Linked DNA regions of Rhinolophus ferrumequinum. The protein of the gene in region 1 binds, or shares a complex with, the protein of each later gene. Links are inferred from orthologs where the notes say so. Each region holds a gene or a part of one and is shown in the gene's direction. Other genes may lie near its edges.

Region 1 (8,273 bases):
GCTGATCATAACTCATACTTGGAATTGGCATCCCTGATGCAGGATTTTGGAGGAGAAAGAGAGAGAGAGAGAGAGAGAGAGAGAGAGAGAGAGAGAGAGAGAGAGAGAGAGACCAAAGTAACATCCCACCGAACCCACAGAAAGAAAGAAAAAATGAGGAAAATCAATAGCTGTTCTTCCAACAATGCTATGAAATTGTGTTCTGAAATGGCATCGCAAAAGCATACTCTGCCATCTGAGACTAAATTGGTGTGACCACAGCTAAAATAAGGAGATAGCCTCATACATCTGGGGGACAAGATGTCACCGGGCCATAAGCTCAGGGGGGAGGGGCAGGGACCCCAGGCAACCTCATCTGAACAGTCCCAGCCCCAGATGAGAGATCGGATCAGTGTGGGGGCCCCGCACAGCAGGACAGACCCCACTCTGGACTGAGATACCGTCTTCTCTCTCACCTGCGCTGCTGGACTGGCCCACGTTGCTCTCTCCTTACTGCTGAACTTGTCATCTCCAACCCCAAACTGCCCTGCTGCTGGAGCAAGCCTTGCAGAGTGCAGACCCAGCCTGGTCCCTCCCTTGCTCAGAGAGACACGCAACCCAAGTGTCCCTAAGAAACCCAGTCCTCCCAAGCAACCTACACTGACCCGACTGCCCAGCCCACTAGATGTACAGAAAGTCTGGGCTCTCCCCAACAGTTCCGATTCCGAAACATGGGGATGGAGTATCTTCCACTTTCCTGGTTGCCTTTTACTCGGAATTCTACTCCTGTGCAATTCCTGATCCCTTCTAGGTCAGAATTCCTAGGGTAGTAAGCAACAGAAACCCAGACTGTCTCGGGGATCAGGGAAGATTTGTTGGAGAGCTCCCTCCCTGGGGGCAGAGGCAAAGCTGGCTTCCCCAGTGCCTGGAAGGCCACCAGGACCTTCGCTCTCCCTCTCTCCCTTTCTTGCCTCTGGAGTGTGGCAGCTCATTCCCTCAGCTCAGATTTCCGAACAGCCACGCAGCTGCTGCACGTAGCATCTCTCAGTTTCTCCAAAAGGAAGGAATAGTCTCTTTCTTTGATGCAAAATTTAAAAATCCCAGGGGAGGATGCTGATCGCATCCATTCAGATCAGCTGGCCCTTTCTGTACCGACCAACTGTGGTCAGTGGTGGGAGGCCCTCTCATTTATCCAGCCTGGCCGATTGCATTGGGCCAATCCACAGTGGCCCACTGCCAATCAAAATCACGTTGGGAGTAGAGCAGGCCCTCTCAAGGGGACGACAGTGCCCCCAAGGAGGCATAAAGCAGGTCTTGGGGGGCGGAAGAGTCTTGGATATTACAATAGTTTGTGGCCTCCCATAGATACGCTATACATCTGAGGTATGACAATTTCATAAGGGGGGAGCAATTAGGAAAAGATCTAAAAAGGCTCCTTGGGGAAGGAGGAGGTGCAAATGACAAAAAACAAACAAACTAAGAAACAGTGGAGTAAAGGATGGAGCGTTTCTCAGAAGGACAGGATCATTCTGGACAAAACCAAGAAATGTCCAGCACTCCCTCCTCACTCCTACAGCTGCCAACCCCTCTCCAACCCTTTATCCACAGGTGGCACAGCACCTCGTCCTCATTCCCGAGCAGCATGACAGCAGCTGCTGTACACAGGGGACTAGTCTCTTGTGAAGATGGGGATGGCCAAGGTTATCACCAGCCCCTGGCGAACATGCCCTGACCACTCACACTTCAAGGAAGCCCTTCCAGCCACCCCTCCTTGCACCTGGCCTGCCCTGCAGTCCTTTTCTGAGTACCAGGGACACCCCCCAGCCCAGACCCAAGCCCTCCCACCCCTTCTCCATCTTGGATGCCAAGCAAAATCTAGGCGTTTCCACCTCTTTGCAAAGCAAACCGCGCATTTCCCTTCTAAGGCCATCTCAGGTTGATCTTTCATAATCACAATGGCTATGAAGGCGTTTTCAAAAATAAATAGGCTTAAACTTCTAAATGACAGTTGGTATTAGCCTGCCAGCTCACAGTTGTTGGCAGGGTTTCTTCTACCACCAGCAGCCTGTGAAAGGCAACAAAGGCTACCAGAGGATACCACGGGAATTCAAGGGTCTTGTGTGCTTTTTATTATTGTTATTGTTTGTTTTTCACTATTACGTTTAGAGGGGTCAAGTCCAGACTTCCCTGCCCTGAACCTGAGGTCAGGTTCCCCAGGGAGGAGATGAGGAGTCACCTGCTGTGACTTGTAAAGGAAGTATTCCCAGGAGATGCTGGTGAGAGAGGGGGCAAAGCAAGAAGTCCCCGGCAGTGAGACGCAGGCAAAGTCCCAGCCTCCTGGACCCCATGAGTGTTAATGACACCTGGACTTCTTCCACCTCCAGTCAACGGCTAAGCATGCCGTTGGGAGCTGGGGTTGGGGTACCTGGGCATCCCCACCTCCAGGCAAATTGTGGCTCTAGCTGTCCAAGGATGCTCCTCCTAAGAGTGTTCCAGGCTGTGGGGGCAGAGGCGAGGGAATGAATTTGGAAGCACAAGAAGAGCCCTGCCAGGAAGGAATCAGGCCAATTACCTATGTGCCTGCGCCACAGGCCCTTTAGAGCCAGAGCAAACCAAGCTCCCTTCCAGCCTGTCCCCGACCGCCTAGCCCTACACTGGCCCCTCCCCAACCGGGCCCCCAGTCGAGCCAGCCTGCACTTGCCCTGCTCCTGCCCACCCTGACTCCTCCATCTGGAGTGAAGTTCTCCCCTTCTCCCTCTGTTTAAATCCTGCAGTACTGTCCTCCCCTCCCCAAATCCCCTGCCGCCCTGCCCTGAGCTGCCCCCCCACCTTGTACTATCTCTCACTGCCCGTTGCAGTTACTCATGCCCAGATCTCATGGGCTTCACCTCTCTTCCGGTGGCTCGCACAGCCTCCATAGGCTGAGGTTGACCTTGAGGTCAGAGCCTCTGCTCTCTGCTTAACATTGAGAGGCTGGCCAGGGGGATACTCCTGGAAGACATGCTGAAGAGAACTGTGGGACCTCATAATGACCCATCAACTCTCCTCCTGAATCTACCCGCCCGTCAAAGCCCTGCCAAGGGGTTGTCTCCTGCCAGGAGTCCTCTCTGACCAAGACCACCTGACCAGGTCCAGTAAAACCATATCCTGTGCCGGCTCCTGGGAAGGGGTTCCACTCCGTCACTTTCTAATGAATGAGGAGATCCAGTCACCTCTTCCACAGCTTTTCCCATAATGACCCCACTGGGGCTAGGCTCTATGCAACAGAGGAGGAAGGGGAAAAGAAATAAAAAAAGGACGGGGGGAGACTGGGTTCTGCCCAAGCTGACTGGAGACCAGCCTTATCCAAGTGACAGTTAGGGAACAGCCAGGGCCTCAGACTCAGGCCAGTGAGATTTCAGGGGAGGGTGATGTGGGAGCACTCAAGGAAGGCTGCCTGGAGGAAGGGGTGAAGGGGAGGAGAGAAGGGGAGGAGAGAAGGTTCCCGGGCAGGGAGATCAGCATGAACATAGTGTCTGAGTTTCTGGAACCCAGGCTGCGTTCTCTAGGGCCTGTGTGCACCCTGTCTGCACGCTGCAGGAAAATCGCGGTGCCCCGCTAATCACATTCTTCAAATGCTTTTCCCTCAGATCCTGACAACTGGAGCTGCTGCTTAAGCTCTGAAACTCCCTGCACCAGGCCCACCTGTGGGAACAGGTCCAGAGGCTACTTCAGGGGCTCCCTCAGCGCAGGCCTCCCGTCCTGAGCCCTGACCCGGCCCCAGGCCAGACCTGTCCCCACCCGGGACCAACGCTGCTCAGCCCTGCCCGACATTAGGATCCCTGGGCAACTGACTGAAACCCTCCAATGCCTGGGCCAGTGCCAGCCTCCATAATCCGAATCTGCACTTGCTGAATGTGCTGTCCTCAGTGTTTAGGGGTTTAAAACATTTTTTAGCATTTCATTTCAAATTTATAGGAAAGTTGGAAGAATGACCCGTCGTATACCCATATACCCATAAACCCGTTGCCCTCCTTTACTGATTATTTACATGTTGACCCATCTGCTTTATGGTTCTCTAGATAGATAGATAGATAGATAGATAGATAGACAGACAGACAGATAGAAATAGATATTGCCGTATTTCTGAACCATTTAAAATTGTTGGAAACACGGTGCCCCTGTGGTCCTAAACATGGTTCCTAAGAACAGCTCTTACCTACCCACAGCGCAAGTTATCAAATCAGGAAGTTGAACACTGATACAGTAGTGCTATTATTTAATCTGCATCTACATTCAACTTCCAAAGGTCCAAACTGGCATCGGAGCCTGGTGAAAGCTCCCCTGACAATTAGAAGATGCGGGCGGTTCTGGGAAGCCTGATCAGGGTGAGACGCCCCCAGCCCACTGGGCACTGAGGCCACAACCTCAGCTGAGGCCCCCTCCTCCCTATCTCTTTTTCTCTCCCCTCCCCCCACCGCAGGTGGCTATAGCTGAGGCTAAGGTGGTGGCAGATAAAAGGCATTAACCCCTTCTCTGCAAGCTGGAGGCAGACCTTGGTCCCTGGCTGCCAGGGAAGAAGCGGCTGCCCAGCACCCGCTATAAATAACCCGGAGGAGGCCGACTGGGCGGCGGTGTCACGGCTGCCTGCCCTGGGGGTGGGGGCCAAGGGAGAATACCCCCATGCCCAGGGCCTGGCCTTGGCCTCGGTGCTGGGCCGGGGCGGGGGATGGAGGGGGGGCGCTACACGCTCTGGCCCGGGGGAGGGGCAGGCAGGGAGGGACGTCGGCGCTGAGAGGCGCGCTTCTGTCCCCAGCCGCGCGGGCATGGGGGCTCCCGCTGGGGCCCCGCGCGTCCTCCGCTCTCCACTCCCGCTCCTCTGTCTGCTCTGCCTCCTCCCTCGACTCCTCAGAGTAAGTGTGGGCAGTGCGGTCGGGTCTCCGAGTCCCGGCGCCGGGAGCTGGAGCTCCGCGCTGTCGTGACTGGGGGACGGGAGGGGGTCTCGGTGTTCCTTTCCTGGACCCAGTTTCCCTCAGCCCTCTTATGAGTGGGGTGGGGGAAGTCTCTGGGCCTTTGCTGGCAGGTTGGGGTTGGGGACCCCTGTGTGAGATCATGGGAGGGAGCTCTTCTGCCTGGACGAGGGGGCAGGTGAGGGAGAGATGAAACTCTAATAGCAGCTAGAACGGGACTGAGAGGCCGCATGGACGATGGGGGCTTCTGGCTGAACTAGCGTCGCGACATGACCCTCCTCACTTCCAGAAATTCGTTATCCCCCGTCCATTCTGTCCCCTCCCCCATGGATCCCTTCCATCTCTCCTTGCAGGAGCCTCAAATCCCTTTTTCTCCTCACCCCAGTTCTGGCCTTTCCCCTAAAAGCCCCCATCTCCTGTGGCCCTGTCCCCACCCTCCTCTTAGTGCCTGAAACCAGACAGTCCCCAGAACCAAATGAGCAATGGGACAGTGGAAGCGCTGGGAGGACCAACCTCACCAAGGGTCTCTCAAAGCTGTCGGTGGGTTTTGGCCAGCGTCAAGGTCTGCAGGTGGGACCTGGGGATAAGAGGATGGAGAGGGGCTATAAAGAAAGAGCTGAAGAAGTGGGGTTAGGCCAGGCGGGCGTGATTCCCAGAAACAGATTCTCAGATGCAGGAGGAATCACCCTTTAACCCCGTCCCCATTTTTCAGATAAGGAAATTGAGGCTCAGAGAAGACAGGCAACCTGTGCAAGGCCACACTTTTCATGAAAAGCCCTGACATTAAAATGGTTCAGAGTGCAGAGAGGGCCTCAGAGGCCACACACCGCGGGGGCCAGAGTCAGGCTGGAAGTCAGGAGGCCTAGTCCTGTCCAGGACTGCACCACAGACCAGCCGCAGGGACCACTTCCTGGGCCTCGACGTCCCTATGTACAGAGGACCATGGCGGACTTTCACTCAACACTCAACAGATAAGCAGTGAGCATCCACTGGCTGTGACAAAGTGGCTTTGCTGACAGACCTGATTCGAATCTCTGCTTTGCCGCTTCGTGTGTGACCTTGGACAGGTGACTCAAATTTTCGAGCCCCAGTTTCCTCCTGGGTAAAATGAGGATGAGATCAGTGTGGAATAGATGAGATGACACAAGTAGAGCTCTGAGCGCCATGCCTGGCACAGAGTGAGCACTCAGTAATGCAGCCATGGTTTTGTGCCAGCCACTAGAGGTGGAGCATGAAGACACCAGGGGCCCTGCCCGCCCAGGGGGTCTGGTCAGGTGGAGACGGATGGGCACCATGCTGAGATGTGCTCAGTGCCCCAATGGGCAGACGGCCTCTAGACCTGCGAGGTCCTTTAAATGACATCGCAGGCTGTATCTGGGGTGGGTGGAGGTGTGCGGTGGGTGGAGGTGTGCGGTGGGTTCACTACCACCCCCACTCTCTACAACTCCCCAAATCCTGGGCTTTGAGTTCTTTTTGCCCCCTCCTGCTGGTTCTTGAGATAGGTGACTTCTAAGACAGCCAGTGTTAGGGCCTCAGTTGCCTCACAGCCCGCCCATCTGGGGGAGGGCATGATGCCAGCTGCCCAAGCTGGTTACATGGAGAGGGTTCTGGTTGCTGCTCCAGAGCCAGGCCAGGTGGAGGGATCTTTGCGAGGGTCCCCTGGGTTCTGGGGGTGTCAGAACCAAAACCTCTCAGGCAACAGTCTGTGGTCCCCTTAGAGTCACCCAGGCCCTACCCCTGGCCCCCTGGAACACCTCAGCCTGATACTAGAGACTAATTACTCACCCAAAGTCACTCAGGATGTAACCAGCGAGAGGGGAACCTACCCGTGGTCTTCTGGCCCCAGAGCTCAGCTAGCTGGTCTGATTTGCAGTTGGGAACGTCCCAGCTGGTGGGTGAGTGGGGAGGAGCCTGGTCCAGCCTGGAGACCGGCCTTCCAGGGCGCCCTCTGAGCCCTTTGAGAGGCAGTGCTGTAATTGTGCAGCCTACCTGCTACACACGCACTGAGCTCTGCGCTTTACTAAAGTACCAGGAAAGTTAGACAGTCATTTACACAGCTAGAAAAGGAGATCGGGTGAGGCTAAGGAATATGGATGCTGGATTCCAAAGCCTGGATTCTAACCTTTTGAGCTACTTCCGTCCGGCTCTGTGAAGACCCCGGAATCTACCAGCCAGCCCATCTGGCTGGGTATAGCCCCTCAGACCTTTGGGGAGCACGACGCTTCCCCTCCCCAGGGTCTCAGGACAGCATTTCTGTGGCTTCTTGCCACAAGTGTCCTGATTTCTGTGGGAGTCATCTGTCCTGAGAAGTCCCCCAAGGGCCCAGGCTCCAGGAACCTGGACCCTTACTAACCTGCACAGCCCTCCCCAAGGCCAAGACCAGGGCCCTGTACACACACTCCCCGGGTCTGCAGCGCCAGGGTAGGAGGTGGCAGGTCTCAAGGGCCATTTGACAGGAGCTCATTCATCTAATGACTTCCCCAAAATTCAACTACTTTCTGAGTGTTTTGTAACCTGATCAGCTAAGTTTTCCTCTCTGCTTTTGCCATTTTGTTGATGTTTAAGTATTTTATTTTTAAAGCAATTTGTCTGAGGGCACTGCTTACTTAATTCTGTATTCCTGGTAAATCTCAAATTTGCAGCACTTTATGAATTAGGGAACTATTCTGTAGTCCTCTTAACTGTCATTTTCCACTTTATCTAATTTTCAACATTCTTAGGAATCCTCAGCCAGTGGGTCTGAAGTTACTTTATTCAAAATGAGAATTTTTTAAGATGTCACTTCGAATCTACCAGGGGGAAGGATCGATTATTCAATAAGCTTATTTTGTTTATTGCATTTAGCAGGTACATAGGGCTTACCATGTGCTCAGTGCTGTTCTCAGCACTGACATACATTACCTATTTTTAAAAAACTTTTATTTTAAGTGTGTTTTTCCAGGACCCATGAGCTCCAAGTCAAGTAGTTGTTTCAATCTAGTTGTGGAGGGCGCAGCCCACAGTGGCCCATGTGGGGATCGAACCGGCAACCTTGTTGTTAAGAGCACCGCGCTCTAACCAGCTGAGCTAACCGGCCGCCCCTACGTTATCTATTTTAAGCTTCACAACAACCCTAGGAGATAAAACCATCATTGTCCCCATTTTACAGATGAGGAAGCTGAGGCGAGGTCATGTGCCCAAGGTCAATCGGCTGGTAAGGGGCAGGGCCAGGATCCAAACCAGGTTGCCTGACTCCAGATTCCCTTGCCTTAACAAAAATGTATTTTAATGTGATTTAATTCTAATGTCAAGTTACTTTTAGGACACTCAGATGCCAAAACAACTCAGAAAAGGGTGACTTCTAGG
Region 2 (7,711 bases), on another chromosome or scaffold:
AGGTGTCCCTTCCAGGATGGCTCCCTGACAGGCGGCTGGTGGGAGGCCTCTCTACTCCTCATGGCTGTCCAGGAGGATAGTCTTGACTTCTGTAAAGATCGCTATTACAGTGAGCAAAGGGAGCCCAAGGCAGAAGCCAAAGACATTTCATAACCTAATCTCTGAAGTCACATCTGTCATATCCTATTTGTTCGAAGTGTAACACTAAATTCAACCCACATCCTAGACAGGACAAAGTACACAGCCCATGAATACCAGGGCAGCAGGGCTCACTGGGGACAATCCTAGAAGTTATTTACCACTGTCCCCTAGTATTTCAATAATTAAGCAAGCATTACAAATTCAAAATGGATTAAAGACTTAAATGTAACACCTGAAACCATAAAACTCCTAGAAAAAATATAGGGAGTAAATTTGCAAACATTACCGAGTAATATTTTTTCTTATATATCCCCTCGGGCAAGGGAAGTAAAAGAAAAATTAAACATATGGGATTACATTAAACTTAAAAGTTTTTTCACAGCAAAGGAGACCATCAATAAAATAAAAAGGCAGCCCACTGAATGGGAGAAGATATTTGTCAATGATACATCTGATAAGGAGTTAATATCCAAAATTTATAAAACACTCATTCAACTCAACACCAAAAAAACAAACACAATTAAAAAATGGGCAGAGGACATGAAGAGACATTTCTCTAAAGAGGACATACAGATGGCCAACAGACATATGCAAAAATGCTCAACGTCACTAATCATTAGAGAAATGCAAACAAAAACCACAATGAGGGGCGTCTGGTTAGCTCAGTTGGTTGGAGTGCAGTGCTCTGAACAACAAGTTTGCCAGTTCGACCCCCACATGGGCCACTGTGAGCTGCATCCTCCACAACTAGGTTGAAACAACTACTTGATGTGGAGCTGATGGATGCTGGAAAAATACACTTAAAATAAATAAAAGTTAAAAAAAAAAACACAGCAGAAAAATCATAATGAGATACCACCTCACTCCAGTCAAAATGGCTATCATCAATAAATCAACAAACAAGTGCTGGAGAGGCTGTGGAGAAAAGGGAATCCTGATGCACTCTTGATGGAATTGCAGATTGGTGCAGCCACTTTGGAAATCAGGTATCTCAAAAAACTGGAAATGGAACTACCTTATGACCCAGCAATTCCACTCTTAGGTATCTTTCCAGAGAAATCTAAGACACTAATTTGAAAAAATCTATGCACCCCTATGTTTATTGCAGCACTATACACGATAGCCAAGACTTGGAAACAATCGAAATGCCCATCGGTAGATGACTGGATTAAGAAACTGTGGTACATTTATACAATGGAGTATTACGCAGCCATAAGGAAGAATGAAATTGTACCATTTGCAACAATATAGATGGACCTAGAGAACATTATGCTAAGTGAAATAAGTCAGACGGAGAAAGACAAATACCATATAATCTCACTTATTTGTGGAGTCTAAAGAACTGAATAAATGAGCAAAGTAAATACAAATAGTCTCAGATATACAGGAAAAAATGATGGTTGCTAGATGGGAAGGGGGTGGGGATGAGGAAGGGATTAGACAGTGTAAATTGGTAACTACAATATTGCCACACGGATATGAAAGACAGTTTGGGGAATATAATCAATAGTGTTGTAAAGGCTTTGTAGGGTGTCAGATGGACACTTGTCTCATTGGGGAGACCACTTCATGGACAGTGTAGGTGCCTGACCACTGCAGTGTACACCTGAAGCTGAAGCTGAATAATACTGAATGTCAAATATAATTTAATATATATATAGTCACAGGATGTGGAGTACAGCATAAGGAATAGAGTCAGTGGAACTGTAACAGCTCTATACAATGTCAGAGAGGTAGTAGATTGGGGGAGGAGGGTTATCACTTTGTGAGGGGTATACATGTCTAACTATTACATTGTTTTGTACACCTGCAACTAATAATAATTAAAAAATCACTTTTCATAAATTTTAACAAAAATAATAATAAACAAACATTAAGTTTCTACTGTTACTTCACAAGAACTCTCTCCTTGGATATTTACAGTAGCTCGCTGAGAAAAAACTAATATTATGCCTACTTTACAGATGGGGAAATAGGCCCAGAGAAGTTAAGTCGCTAGTCTACTGTGCACAGCAGAGTAAGCAGCAAAAACAAGATTCGACCCTGAGATTTAAGACCTTCATCAGGAAGAGGCCAACAACAACAAAGACCAGGAACAGAGAAGGGAAGAAAGGAAGAAGGTGCAATTATTATTGTTTACTCCAGAGAAAGAAAAGAAGCACCCAGGAAAGCTGGGTTCCTTCATTGATTTCACAAACATTTATCGAGCACCTACTGTATGCCAGGTGCTATTTCAGGCTCTGGGGATGCCACAGAAACCAAGATGGACAAAGTTCCCTGCACACGTGGAATTCACACACATGGGTGACCAATTCCACTATCCAGTCTAGCACCTGGCACACCAGAGTGATGCTGGAGGAGGGAGAGGCCCCAGAACCCCAGTAATGCCTGAGGGTTCTGCCTGAGGGACAACAGTTTTGTTTCCTTGCTGGTAGGTTCTTGGTTCAAGTGAAGCTTTCCTGTATTTGCGGTGTTGGACACCCCAGGAGCCTCCTGCCCAGGCCGAGGTGGGGATGGAAGCCCCAAGATGATAGTTTCAAGGAGCTAATCTTCCTGCCCTCAACTAACAAACGGAGACTTTGACCCTCCCCTCACCCTTTATCTCAAGACAGGAGAGTACAGCATGTTAAGGTGCAGCTTGGGAGGCGTGTGAAGGGCTCTGGGCAGGGCCAGGTGGGGGAAGATGTGGGTGTTCCAGCCCGCTCAGGGCTGAGAGACGTGCTGTAGTCAGGGAACTGTCCTTAATGGCGCTTTGGTTTCCTCCGCTGTAAAACGGACTTCCAGCACTAGGAACATGTCAGGCTATCATTTTTTCCCCCATTCTTCAGAATGCAACCTCCTGTGTGTCTGGGCCTCGTTCTAGGTCTCTTTCAGTAAGAAGGCAGATAGTAAATATTTTAAAGCTATCCCAACTACTCAAGTCTGTGGGTGAAAGGTGAAAGCAGCCAAGCTCCATACATACGTAAATGCACTGGCGAGGCTATACCCCAAGAATATCAACTGGGTAATAGGGTTGCTTTAAAGGGCTTAAAGCAGTGCTTGGTATACAGTAGGCACTTCATTAATGTTTGCTGCCTGGAATATAGCAGGCACTGTATTAATGCCTGGTTTACAGTAGGCACTCCATAATGTTTTTGCCCTGTCTTGGTATATATCAGGCATTACATTCAAGTTTGGTTCATGCCTAGCTAGATAGCAGGTGCTACACTCATGCCTGGCCCACACCTGGTATATAGCAGGTGCTGCATTAATGCTTGGTCCATGCCTGGTACAGTAGGAACTCCATTAAAGCTTGCTGCATACGTGGCATATAACAGGCGCTGCATTAATGCGGGGCCCACCGGGCCCAATACACAGGAGGCGTTCTATTCATGCTTGTCCCAAGAACAGATGAATGGAAGGTTCTTTCCGGTTAGGCAATGCCAGGGTGCTTCCCGGTAAACCGTGAAGGCTAGGACCCCAGTGTCCACCATTGGGCCGGGGTCTCCCAGCGCCGCGACCAGACATTGGCGCAGTCCTTGCCTCCCGTTCTTCAGCGGAGCCGGGCGGAGCGGAGCAGAGCGGGGCCGAGCCGGGCCGAGCGGGGTCGAGCAGGGCCGAGCGGTGCCGAGCGCCGCTGAGCCGGCCGGCCGAGTCCGCCACATTCCCACAATCCCGGGCGGTCCCGCCCGGCTCCCAGCTGCGCGTCCCCCTTCCCACGTCGGCGCAACCTAACCCGCGGGCGCGCCCGCCTCGTCCCGCCCCGCCCCGCCCCGCCCGAGCGACGTCCCGCCCACCCCGACCGCTAATCCCGCCCCCGCGACGGGCGGGCGGGCCACCGCCCCCTCCCATTGGCCGCGCCGCCCGCCCGTCGGCACTGTGCCCGCGCGGGTTAGGTTGTGCGGTGCTGTCTCTCGGTCGCTGAGGCTGCGGTTGGCGGCGGCGGCTGCGGTTAGCGGCGGCGGCGGCGCGGGCGGAGGGTGGTCGGGCGGGAGTACGCGGCGGAGCGGGACCGGCGCTCGTAGGCAGTCGAGCGAACCGGTCGGCCCCCGGGGCCAGCGCCGAAGGCCAGGCGGGTGCGGCCGGGGCGGCTCCGGGCGAGGGCCGGGCCGGGGGGCGGCGGCGGGGGCGGCCGGCGGGCTCCGGGGCCGGGACGATGACTCTGGAGTCCATGATGGCGTGTTGCCTCAGCGATGAGGTGAAGGAGTCCAAGCGGATTAACGCCGAGATCGAGAAGCAGCTGCGGCGGGACAAGCGCGACGCCCGGCGCGAGCTCAAGCTGCTGCTGCTCGGTGAGTGGGGCCGGGCCTGCCGGGGTCCGCGGCCGGCGGTGCGCGTGCTGGCCGGGCGGGGCCGACGCTGCGGGCTGTCCACAGGCGATGCCTGTGGCCGTGCTGTCCCCGGCGAGGGCAGGGCTTCGGAGCCAGCCGGGGCCCGTGGTGTCCATAGCTCCTGCCTTGCTGTCCACAGTGGGACTGCGGCCGTGGACTGAGCCCCAGCCTGTGCTGTGCTTGCTGGGAACCCCAGTAGGTAGGGTCTGCTCCTGCCGGTGCTGTACTGCCCACAATGGGGCCCTGATCCCTGCGGGGCCAGCTGTTGCCTGTGCTGTCCAGGTCAAGGCCCCACGTTCTCAGCGTCGGCCAGGTGCCTGTGCAGGGCCGGTGGGGCCCAACCCTGCCCATGCTGTCCACCTTCAGGCCACCTGATATCTGTGGGGTCAGCCCCCTGCTTGTGCTGTCCACATGAGGTCCAAAGTGTTTTCAGGGCCAGCCCCTGTTTCTGCTGTCCTTGTTGAGTCCCTGAAACCCTAGGGGTCAGCCCCTGCCTCTGCTGCTCACGTCGGTACCGGATCCTCACAGGCAGCCTGTGCTGTCTGTGGCAGACCCCCGATTCCTTCGGTGTGAGCCCTGCCTTTGTCGTCCAGGTCAGGCCCCCGAACCCTCCAGGGTCAGTACCCTGCTTTGGCGGTCTACATCAGGTCTCCAGATCGCTGCAGGGTCAGCCTCTGCCTCTGCAGTCCAGGTGGGGCCCCTGGAACTCTGGAGGTTCTCTCCCTTCTCATGGGCTGAGTCCCCCTCCCTGCACAGGGCTGGCCCTCTGTCCCTTACCCACAGAGTGTCCCCCTCGCTGCCCCAGCATCTGTTCAGGCCCAGACCTTGGGGTGTAATCCACAGACGCTCCCCTCACCTCGCAGGATCCCATCTCCACTACTCCCACCAGGTGGAGCCCTGTTCCCTACACACAGGGCCTGCCCCACTCCCACCCACCCACCCCCATTCCCTCAGGCTGTTCCCCTGCCTACCCTCCTTCTGCAGGAAAACTGTTTCCCTCAGAAAGGGGTACACCCCATTGAGGAGAAGATAGCCTTTCCTCTCTTCTTAGAGTCTGTTTTAGCTGAAGGCCATGGTGGGGTTTCAGAACCAGCCAACTCTACTCCCCAAATCATTTCCTTCTGCCTTCGTGGGAGCCAGTTTTCCCGGGTCCTCCTTCCACTTGGGGGAAGATTCCTGTTCGAGTCCACTTCTCAGGGCACACCTGTTGCACGCAGTGAGTTGGCCTAGCTATCAGCAAAGTGTTGTTACCCCAAATAAGGGCTGTTGAAGGACTTACCTCTGCCGTCAAAGGCGAGAAGGTCGTTTACAAAACAGAAACCTGGGCCGTGCCCTCTCCTGAGCCCTGCTTCATTTTCATTCCTATACTGTGGGGAGAGTTGGAAATGGAAGCCGCTCAGAGGTAGCTTTGATGGGCCTGGGGCTGGAGAAGGAGCAAAGGGTTTAGAGGTGCTGAGTCTGATGGCAGATGGTGGCATTGGTGGCCTTTTGGGAGATGGTGGGTTTTGGCTGGAACACATTGCTTTTCCTGCCTGCGCCCTTCCTTCTCTATTTTCTTTTTCCAAACGTGTATTCTGATTTACCTAAGGTCTATAAAATAGTCCATCTTTGCAGAAAAGACAGGCAGAAAGTAAGCATCAAGTTTGGAGGAAACTTGCAATGGGGTCTGAGTGGCACTGGACAGTTTTTGCAGTGAGCTGTAGAGCTTATTTTGGGAGGAGGGGGTAGAAATTAGGGGCATCTTAACGGTATCAGCCGGTCTTACTGGGGGGCTGCGTGAGCCTCCGAGCGCGCCCCCTCCTCTCCTGAGTATGTCCAGTCTTCAGATTGATGTGTGGGTCAAGGCCACACAGGTCAGTGGCCCAAGCTCCTGCAGCCTTGCTGTGTGTCTGCAGTCTCCCTGGGCTGGGAGGCCCCCAAGAGCCCTGCAGGGGATCTGGAAGCAGCCAGTGCCCGCCAGGGAGCATGGGGAGTCAGCTGCGGGGGCACCTGTGTCTGCAGTTCCACTTCTCCCCTGCGGTGCAACCCTAGAGAGGCATCTAGTCTGCCCCCTGCCAGCCTGCACCACGGGGTATTGGGCGCTGTGTCCGGAGGTCGCGTCCTAGGCATGGAGAGCAGATAGGACAGGATGTGAGCGCTCAGGTCCAAGGTGAAGGGTTCTGACCTGAGGAGGGCAGCCCTCAGTGCTGGGCGAAGGCCCAGGGGGTGTGCATGGTAGGGGCTGATCTTGAGGTGCTGCCTCAACAAGTGATCCCTTGGGCTTTGGGCCCGGGACTTCTTCGGGAACCCTGGGAACACTTCTCACCAGGCAGCCTGTCCTCCCAGGTTGAGGACACCGTGTTGGGAGGACTTTGATGCCTAGAGGACAGGGTGGGGTGTGAGAGGGCAGGGAGGGCGTCCTTACTGAGCACCCTCGGCCTGTTGCCTGACCTGCTGGTAGGACTCTTTCCAACCCCCTAGCAAGCCAGCCACTGGATGGGGACTGTCCCCGTTTCGTAGGGGGAAAATCAAGGGACACACAGCTTTCCCAGCTGTGGGAGTTGTAGGCCACCTGGTTCTGCTGCATGAGAATGCCACCACCCCTGCCCCCCGTGGTGTGGGCTAAGGGGCTGCTCACCCTGTGGCATTGTGTGTGAGTCCTGTTTCTGAGAGGTTCTGGTGGTGCTCGCCTTGGCACCTGGTTTTGGACTCAGGCGGAGCGAGTTACCATCGCTGGAGAAGCCCTGGCCCAGTTTGCCACGTCCATGTGCTGTCTCCCCGGGGCTGTGTGCACGTGCCCTGTGGGGCCCCCCAGCCTGGCGCGGGTGTTGATGCCCTATCCTGGTGGTTAGAGTGGCTGACCTGTGGAGCTCCTGGAGCGGGGCTCTGGCCCTCGAAGTGGGGCACCGAGTGGGCACCCTGTGCTGTCCCCAGTGCTCCCGCCATGCCCCTTTTTAAAGTTGATTTTTAACTCCTCAAAGAGGCCTCTCTTTTCCATATGGCAGGGTCTCTTCCTCGGCACTGGGGACCTTGGGGCCGGGCCAGTCTCTGTGAGGGGCCGTCCTGGCCATGGAGGCGTCTTGTTGAGCAGCCTCCCTGGTCCCACCCGTCTGATGACCACAGATGTCCGAGAATGGCCCGGTGGCCCCTACGTGCGGGACCAGCGCTGTTTGAGAACCTCTGCCCCATGGTAGTACACGGTTACACGGTGTAAAATGTGTGTTGCAGAGTGGGTGTATGATCAGTGTAAGTGATTTTGTCGGATGTTTTGTGATTGCTTA
Region 3 (7,604 bases), on another chromosome or scaffold:
GTGCAGAAGTGGCCATGCATAAAGGGAAGGGGGACCCTGGTGACCCCAGTTGTCAGGGAGCGGGGATAGGGTGTGAAGTGCTAACTGGGGGAGCAAGCCTTGACCTCCACTGTCCTCGTACCCTGTGCCTGACATGCGGGCCTTCGGGCCCCTTGGAGTCCTTCATGCCCTTTCCAGTGTAGTCGTGTTGTTTGGGGCAGAACGTTTGACGTTTTTCCTTGGTGTGTTTTCTGAGCACCTGCCAGGGGCTTGGTTAGCTGTGGCAGGGCTAAGAGAACAAAGCTGTCCAGGGTTCTGTCCTTGCCCTCTGGCAGGTCGTGTCTAGCCCTGTTCTGGGAAGAACCTCCACCACTTTGGGAGTTTCAGGCACAGGAGAGGCAGGGCTACCTTGCTGGCTGTGCTGGGGGTCCCAGCAGCTGAGACCGGCAGCCTCGGTTGCCTACAGGTGCCCCCACTCCAGCTGCAGCCCCAGCTCTCAGCCTTGCCCAGCTGCCTCTGAGGAGGCTGCGCAGAAGTGTGGGGGAAGAGCAGTGAGTCTGCAGCCAGTACGGACGTCAGAGCCAGCTCCCGGCCAAGGAAAGGGGTGGAAGGATATGTTTGCCCAGCGCTAATTGAGGGCACAGGGATGGTGGTGGCTACGGGCTAGTGGGGGACTCTCATTACTCAGGTGAGCTCTGCAGGCGAGCTGGAGATCATACGGTCACTCCCAGGTGGCCCTATAAGTGTGTATTTGCTAGAAGCCATCACGCCACTAGAACTGACGGGGGGCTCTGTAAATAATGATTTCTGTCTTGGTTTCTGGATGAGGGAGTCTGACAAGGGCTGCTTAGAGCTGGGTATCTGTGCAAGTGAGGGGAGGGGAAGCAAGTGCAAAGGCCTGGGGTAGAAAAGGCTGGAATACCTATTGCCAGCTCAATCTGAGGTGTGAAGGGGTGTCTGGGTTTACCTGATTGTGCTAAGAGGTGGCCAGGACTCTTCCCTGTGGGGACTCGTTCGTGCCAGCTCCACCAGTCAGCTTCCTTCCTGGGACCATTTGAACACTCACATTTCAGAAAAAGAGTTATGCTTGCTGTTCTCCATAGACCCGAAGACCTAGGTGAAGGACCCTGGCCAGGGTCTGGCTTTGGGCTGGGGGAGAAAACCCAGGGTTCCTTACCATCCTACATATGACCTCTCCATAGTGTAGTGTCCTGGAAAGAAGACTGTCTAGGAAATGAAGCCACGTGGGTTGTGCCTTGGCTCTGTCGCTTACTGGTTATGTGAGGTCCCAGACCTTCATTTCCATACCTCTGAAATAAGGGGTGTGGGTGCAGTTATCTGGAAGGCCTTTCCAGTTCTGACAGTCCGTGCTTCTCAGCCCCTGGTACCTTAAGTTGTCCTTCCTCCAACTGCAGTTTCTGACTCCTCCATTGCTCCATACAGAGTCCTTGGGCCCTGGCCTGCTCCAGGCTGCTCATCCCAGTTTCTAACAGGACACACATGGGGTGTCACCATCCTTGGGAGAGGAGAGCTTTGAAGCAGCAGCAAGGGACTGGCCGTTTGCCCCAGAATTCAGCCCTCGGGCCCAGAGTGCTAGAGACTCATTCAGTCAGCAGGCTTACCTCCCTCCTTGGAGTGGCAGCCCCTCCCGGGAGGTGTTCTGACAACACCTGTGTACCCTGCACAGGGTCCCTGATGGGCCTGGGTGACGTCATTTCACAGCAGCTAGTGGAGAGGCGAGGTCTGCGGGAACACCAGGCTGGCCGGACCTTGACCATGGTCTGTCTGGGATGTGGCTTTGTGGTAAGTTCTGCCCACAGCAGAGCTGCTGCTGGATTGGACAGTGGTCTGTTTCCCTTGGCCTTTCTTACATCTACGCCAACCTGGAGTGTACCTTGCCCTGAAATTTGGTTTTTAATACTCAAGGGAGAGGCTTTGTGATGTAAAAGCCGACTGTCCCCCTCACTGCATCCCTGCTCCCCTCCCTGGGGTTTGCTTTCAGGGCCCTGTGGTAGGAGGCTGGTACAGGGTTTTAGACCGTCTCGTCCCTGGCACCGCCAAGGTGGATGCACTAAAGAAGATGTTGTTGGATCAGGTGAGCGGGAGGAAACGGGGGCTGGGAAGGCTGAGCTGGAGGAGGGCGGGCTTAGGTGCTTACAGCTCTTTAATCTCTTTTCCTTAGGGGGGCTTTGCCCCATGTTTTCTAGGCTGTTTCCTCCCACTGGTAGGGACACTCAATGGACTGTCAGCCCAGGACAACTGGGCCAAACTCCGGCGGGTGAGCTGGGCAGGTGTGGGGAAGACCTCTGGCTGGCAGACTGGCACGCCCAGGGGAATGAGGCAGGCTTCAGGGGGGTGACACAGGCCGAAGTACAGGTAGGGTCCTGGGCTCTGGAAGAAAGGAGCTGAGGGGGTGCAGTGCAGGAGTGTGCTCTCTGAACAAATCTGTGGGTGCTATTCAGACTGGGGCATGGGAGCTGCTTGGAAGTGCAAGTGCTGATTGGGTCCTTCTGTGTTTCCTCAGGATTATCCTGATGCCCTCGTCACCAACTACTATGTAAGAGCTGACACCTCCGCTGCCTGTCCTCCTGCCTCCTTGAGTCCAGAAGTGCCCAGGGATTGGGGGTCCTCCTGACCTAGAAATCCCTCAGTTGGGATGACCCCCTCATTCCCAGTGTGGGCACCACACTCAGGGAAGCTCTCCCCCACTTGTTCCGCTTGGTTCTGTTTACAGAAGTTGGAGGAGGACCAGGCAAGGCAGTGAGTCTGGGGTCAGGTGATGGAGGCAGCCCCCCAACATTTACCTTCTCTCTCGTAGCTCTGGCCTGCTGTGCAGCTAGCCAACTTCTACCTGGTCCCCCTTCATTACAGGTATGACAGATCCCTACCCCACCCTTCAAGGAAGAGCCACATTATGAACAGTTGTAGATAAAGTGATTCTCATTCAATCTTGAGCTACCTTAGACCCCCGGGAACTCCTAGACTCCTGAGCGTTTTATTCAGATCCTCTCGTTCATTATAGAACCTGTCGCAGAGTGCCCACTGACCTCGGGAGGGTCCTGCTCCACAACCCTTGGCTCTGTCCCACCTGAGCTCCCTACCTGTGCTGCAGACAGCGTGGAGGGGGCTGCAGCCTAGTTAGAAAGGTCACTCAAAGAGCCATGTAGGAACCTGGGTAGGTTCATCCACTGCAAAATATTATTTTACGCTAATCATAAAGGGTAATATTGCTGAAACTGCAATAAAAACAGTAGAACTCAGGATGACTAGTTAAAATTAGGATGGTGATGGGGCTTTGAGAACAGAAAAATAAACAGAAAAATATAAAACTCTTCGGAGGGGACATGGTTAAAATTTACATGAATAGCGTAGCTAAAAGGAATATAGCTAAAAGGAATATAGACTTAACCAAATTTTAAACTTTAGAATCCTTGTAACGGTCTTAGAAGCTAAAGCAAGGTCAATTTAACACCAAGAGAAGGAGGTGTTACTTTCTATGGCAGACAGTACGTTTCTGGAAGATGAGAGCTTCTCCGCTGGTACACGGATGACAGATACGTGTATTCAGAAGGAGCCCGGACAGGACTATGAGTAACAGCCCTGCAGGGCAAGATGGCTGCTGAGGGTATTTCACCTGAGGCTCCGGGACAGCAGCAGCACCTGAGCTGTGTCCTCTGGTCCGAACCACGCGTCCCTCCTGAAGGAGGTGTAAATCTGGATGTTTTCAGAGATAATGCCTCCTTTTGCATTACACTTTCCCCTCTCTCCCCACTTGCTTTCTCCTCATCCTTCCTCTTTTTCACGCTGCCATTCCTGTTCTTCAGGTTGGCTGTTGTCCAGTGTGTTGCTGTTGTCTGGAACTCCTACCTGTCCTGGAAGGCACACCAGCTGTAAGCCTGCCTCACTCCATTGCTTCCGCCTTGCAGTGACGCAGCTTGACCCTGGAATGGTCGGCCGACCTCCTCCTCAAAGTGGGCACATTGCTTTCACGGGGTTGGGTTGCTGGTCAGAATGTAGCGGGATTAGCACTATGAAACGGCCCATGTCACTCTAAAATGTAAACTGACTCCTTTTGAATTTACTAAAACTTGTATAATGGTCTTATGCCCACCGCATAGTAGGCACCCCATAAATATTTATTCAGCCATATGATCTTGTCAACATTACTTTATACCCATATCCCAGCCAGTGCACTCATCCCCGCTTTTCATAAATACATCTATTTCCCTAACCCTCTCCAGCCCTAGTGTAGCTCCAGTTCCTTGGGGACCCCCTCAAACCCTTTATGTGTTACCTTTGTAAATATGTTATAAATGTGTAATCTGGAACCTGCAGTAAGACCCAACAGAAAAATACTAGGGAGTCAAAATTTCTAGGGAATGGAAAGAAGCCTAGAGACCACCAAGCCCAAACTTCTTTTACAGACGAGGACACTGAGGTCCCTAGAAGTAAGGTGACCTGTCCACACCATGAGTTAGTGGCAAAGTAGAAACTTGAACCCACATGCTATAAATCAAATGTTTAAATACCCCCCCCCAAATTCATATGGCGAAGAACCTGAGGTGATGGCATTGGGAGCTGGGGCCTTTGGTGGTTAGGGGGTGAGAGCACAGCCCCCGTGGGATGCTTGCCCTGATAAAAGCAGCCGTGCGAGGACACAGCAAGAAGCTGCCATCAATGAACCAGCAAGTAGATCCTCACCAGACACCACATCTACTGGGGCCATGATCTTGGACTTCCCAGCTTCCAGAGAAATAAATGTGAGAAATAAATATTTGTTGGGTATAAGCCACCCAGTCTATGGTATTTTTGTTACAGCCGCTCAGATGGACTAAGGCACCATGTTTCCTTACTTCCTACCAAGTGATCTTAACCTGGCGGTAAAGATACAGTAATACTATTGTGATTCCCAGGAGAAAAAGGAACTTGGCTAAACTACCACTTTGGAGCAAACAGAAGCAGATGGACCAGCCTTTTGTGGTCTGAAGGCACTTGAGGCCAGAAACCCTCGTTTTTATGGTGCCTCAATCAGACAGCCCTAGAATTTAGATCCCGGGACTGGAATAAGATCAGGGATTCTGGTTGACTTAGCCTGCCTCAGCTGCTGCTTGGGTGGGTACCATGGTGAGGATGGCCTGCCAGCGGAGCACTCCTGGTTGTCTCAGTTTACAGAGCTGGTGACGGGCAAGGGACCGAGTGTGAGCAGCACTGCATCCTCCCAGTGCCTCTGGCCCCTCTGGAGGCCGAGGGCAGGGTCAGCCCCACGATCCAACCACCCTTCCGTGTGCCAGAGAAGACTAGCCATCTGGACTCTTCTGGTCTGGGGACCGGCCCTGCTCACTGCTGACTGTTCTAAGCCGGCGAAGGACACTCGTTGCTTCCAGAGCAATGTTCATGCCCCAGCCAGCTTCTCGCTCACTTGAGTCCGCTGTCGCTTCTAGCGCAAGCCCCAGAGACACGCCCCTCGGGGTCCCGCCACCCGCTGGACTCGAAGCCGCCACCGTCATTGCTCTACAATCAGTGCATGCTCCTCGCTGACGTCAGTCGGAGCTGTCCTGGAGCTATATAAGGCTGGCGGCGGTCCCGGGACAGACCCCGTGTTTCCCAAGGCGTCCTCAGCCCGCCCCGAGGGACAGACTGGACCTCCCTCCTGCCCTGTGCAGACGCTCTCTGGCAACCTGTGAGTGGCTCGGAGAGTCCGCCCTGCCTCGCTCAACAACAGGACTCCGCTCGCCTGCCGGGACCCGCTAATAGGGAGGGAGGGAGGGAAGGCGGAAAGGGTGGCACAACACTGGGCAACGGCAGGGACTGCAGGGAAGGTTGTGGGCACAGCGCGGCTGCTACGGGGGACCGGCGGGGACGCTGGATGTGCGCGGGAAGGGGAGTGGCGCCACCTGCGACTGTTCCAAGCGCACCTCACCCTGCGCTGCTCCTGTGTGTCCAGGGCTGGTGGCACCATGAGGCTGGCGGGACGTGCGGCGTTGCTGGCGGCGCTGCTGCTCCTGGCACATCTGCGCCCGGGGAGCAGCCAGTGGAGCCCGGAGCAGGAGGCGGCGGCCGGGGTCCAGGACCCGAGTCTGCGCTGGAGTCCCGGAGCGCGGAACCAAGGCAGGGAGGCCCGCGCGCTCCTCTTGCTGCTGGCGGAGCGTTTCCCGCGCCGCGCGGGGCCAGGCCGATGGGGATCTGTGACCACAGGAGAGCGGCCGCGACGGGACGACCCTCCGCTGTCCATTGACCTCACCTTCCATATCCTGCGGACCCTGCTGGAGGAGGCACGGACGCAGAGAGAGCGCGAGCGCGCAGAGCAGAACCGCGTCATACTCGACTCGGTGGGCAAGTGATCGGCGGGGTCTGGGGCGCGGAAAACCTCGACCCTCACCCCCAACCCGGAGCTGGGACCTGCGCAACTGGAACTGACCCAGTCCCGCGGGGCTAGAGCTGCCCAGGGATACCCTGAGCACGCTCTGCGTTACTAGTGTTTAATAAAAGTTCCGGAGAGCCTTTGGTCTCTGTTGTGGGGGCGCCGGGAACTTTCCACAGCAGGGTGGGAACCCCTAGGAATGTGGGGCCTCCTAGGTCGGTGGGAGGGAACCAGTGCTGCAGGAGGAGCACCCTGGAGAGTGGCGTTCAGCCAGGGTCCTGTGTCCCTATCATCCCCAAGTCCCCCGGAACTCAAGTCCTGATCCTGCCGCACCACCCCTTACTCTTTGCCTTTGGCACTGGCTCAGGAATCCAAGCCTAATATCAAGGAGGTTCCCAACAGGGGTTCCATTCACTTCCGCCTCCCAGCTGGTCCCAGATCCGGAGAAGGGCGGACTGGTGACAGGGTCGCCTCAGAAGCTGAGACACACAGTGAGCAGTGAAAGGAGCTGCGGGTCGGGATGCATGAGCCCTTTATTGAGCCCTCCCCAGCGGCGGGGCGCCGAGCTGAGGGGCGCGGTGGTCTCTGCGCAGATCCTCCACTACCCGAGCGCCAGGCCCCCAGAGCGCGAAGTCCCCCACAGGGGGAGGGTCAGTGCAGGCCTGTCCCCAGGAAAAAAAGCGCGGTGGGCGGGTGCTCCAAGGAAACAAGGCAACTCCGAAACCCAGCGCACCCCCTTTCCCCAGCCACGTGGGTGTCTCCTCTACTTCCCCACCCACCCTGCTTGCCCAAAGCCCCGAAGGAATGGCTGACGCGAAAGAAAGTGTCCTTTTGCACCCGCGCTAGGGGGCGCTCCGCTTCTGCTGGGGGTTGGGAAGCATTTGAAAGCAGGGTCTGCAAGCGAGCCCTGGTCCCGCAGGGAGGGCGATCACCCGAGGACCAGTCAGGCCGCGATGGCCCTCGCAATACACTCACCTTCCGGCCCATCCAGCCGCTCTTCCTCTGTCCCTGCGTTGCCTTCCTCCCCGTCCATCGCCATGTCCTCATCCTCTTCCTCCCCGGAAGCTCCTGGGCCCAAGGAAGACCCCCTTGAGGTAGAGTCTCCTGCTGGTTGGGCGCCATGCCTTACCCTGCCCCCACCCGGAGGGTCCTCTCCCTTCCTGGCTCCCTCACCTGGCTGGAAGTCTATGGTCCTCAGCATTTCCGCCACGTGCTCCACGCTCACGGTGAATTGCTCCATGCTTTCATAGCCTGGCTCTGGCCG

What was found. Proteins that work in one complex are often made in the same cells at the same time.
Region 2: the proteins of CRHR2 (region 1) and GNA11 are in contact, whole or in part, in a cryo-EM structure (PDB 7TRY), measured with the Homo sapiens proteins. The link is inferred for Rhinolophus ferrumequinum from reciprocal best matches to the Homo sapiens genes CRHR2 and GNA11. Residues at the interface, in NP_001874.2 of Homo sapiens: Arg148, Tyr208, Leu209, Ala212, Ile213, Thr216, Glu220, Lys293, Lys307, Ala311, Phe358, Tyr359, Phe362, Asn363; in NP_002058.2 of Homo sapiens: Arg37, Ile348, Leu349, Asn352, Leu353, Glu355, Tyr356, Asn357, Leu358.
Region 3: the proteins of CRHR2 (region 1) and UCN are in contact, whole or in part, in a cryo-EM structure (PDB 7TS0), measured with the Homo sapiens proteins. The link is inferred for Rhinolophus ferrumequinum from reciprocal best matches to the Homo sapiens genes CRHR2 and UCN. Residues at the interface, in NP_001874.2 of Homo sapiens: Phe68, Asn69, Gly70, Val71, Tyr73, Ile101, Leu102, Asp103, Asp104, Arg107, Asp110, Tyr113, Leu117, Asn120, Trp166, Leu169, Gln170, Val172, Asp173, His174, His177, Glu178, Thr188, Phe191, Asn192, Phe199, Phe256, Gly257, Lys258, Asp265; in NP_003344.1 of Homo sapiens: Asn84, Pro85, Ser86, Leu87, Ser88, Ile89, Asp90, Leu91, Thr92, Phe93, His94, Leu95, Leu96, Arg97, Thr98, Leu99, Leu100, Leu102, Arg104, Thr105, Ser107, Gln108, Arg111, Ala112, Asn115, Phe119.

Annotation. Positions count from the first base shown.
Region 1 is NC_046303.1:11,769,074-11,777,346, forward strand, and holds the start of CRHR2 (corticotropin-releasing factor receptor 2), read left to right. Parts: upstream 1-4,749; 5' UTR 4,750-4,784; coding exon 4,785-4,871; intron 4,872-8,273. UniProt on the Homo sapiens protein: G-protein coupled receptor for CRH (corticotropin-releasing factor), UCN (urocortin), UCN2 and UCN3. Has high affinity for UCN.
Region 2 is NC_046301.1:60,157,997-60,165,707, reverse strand, and holds the start of GNA11 (guanine nucleotide-binding protein subunit alpha-11), read left to right. Parts: upstream 1-4,233; 5' UTR 4,234-4,276; coding exon 4,277-4,412; intron 4,413-7,711. UniProt on the Homo sapiens protein: Guanine nucleotide-binding proteins (G proteins) function as transducers downstream of G protein-coupled receptors (GPCRs) in numerous signaling cascades.
Region 3 is NC_046296.1:53,378,945-53,386,548, forward strand, and holds UCN (urocortin), read left to right. Parts: upstream 1-4,541; 5' UTR 4,542-5,659; intron 5,660-5,923; 5' UTR 5,924-5,936; coding exon 5,937-6,320; 3' UTR 6,321-6,626; downstream 6,627-7,604. Other genes in the region: protein Mpv17, read left to right, coding at 1,667-1,782, 1,982-2,074, 2,162-2,257, 2,504-2,536, 2,798-2,850, 3,804-3,873; TRIM54 (tripartite motif-containing protein 54), read right to left, coding at 6,992-7,002, 7,316-7,408, 7,514-7,604. UniProt on the Homo sapiens protein: Acts in vitro to stimulate the secretion of adrenocorticotropic hormone (ACTH). Binds with high affinity to CRF receptor types 1, 2-alpha, and 2-beta. Plays a role in the establishment of normal hearing thresholds.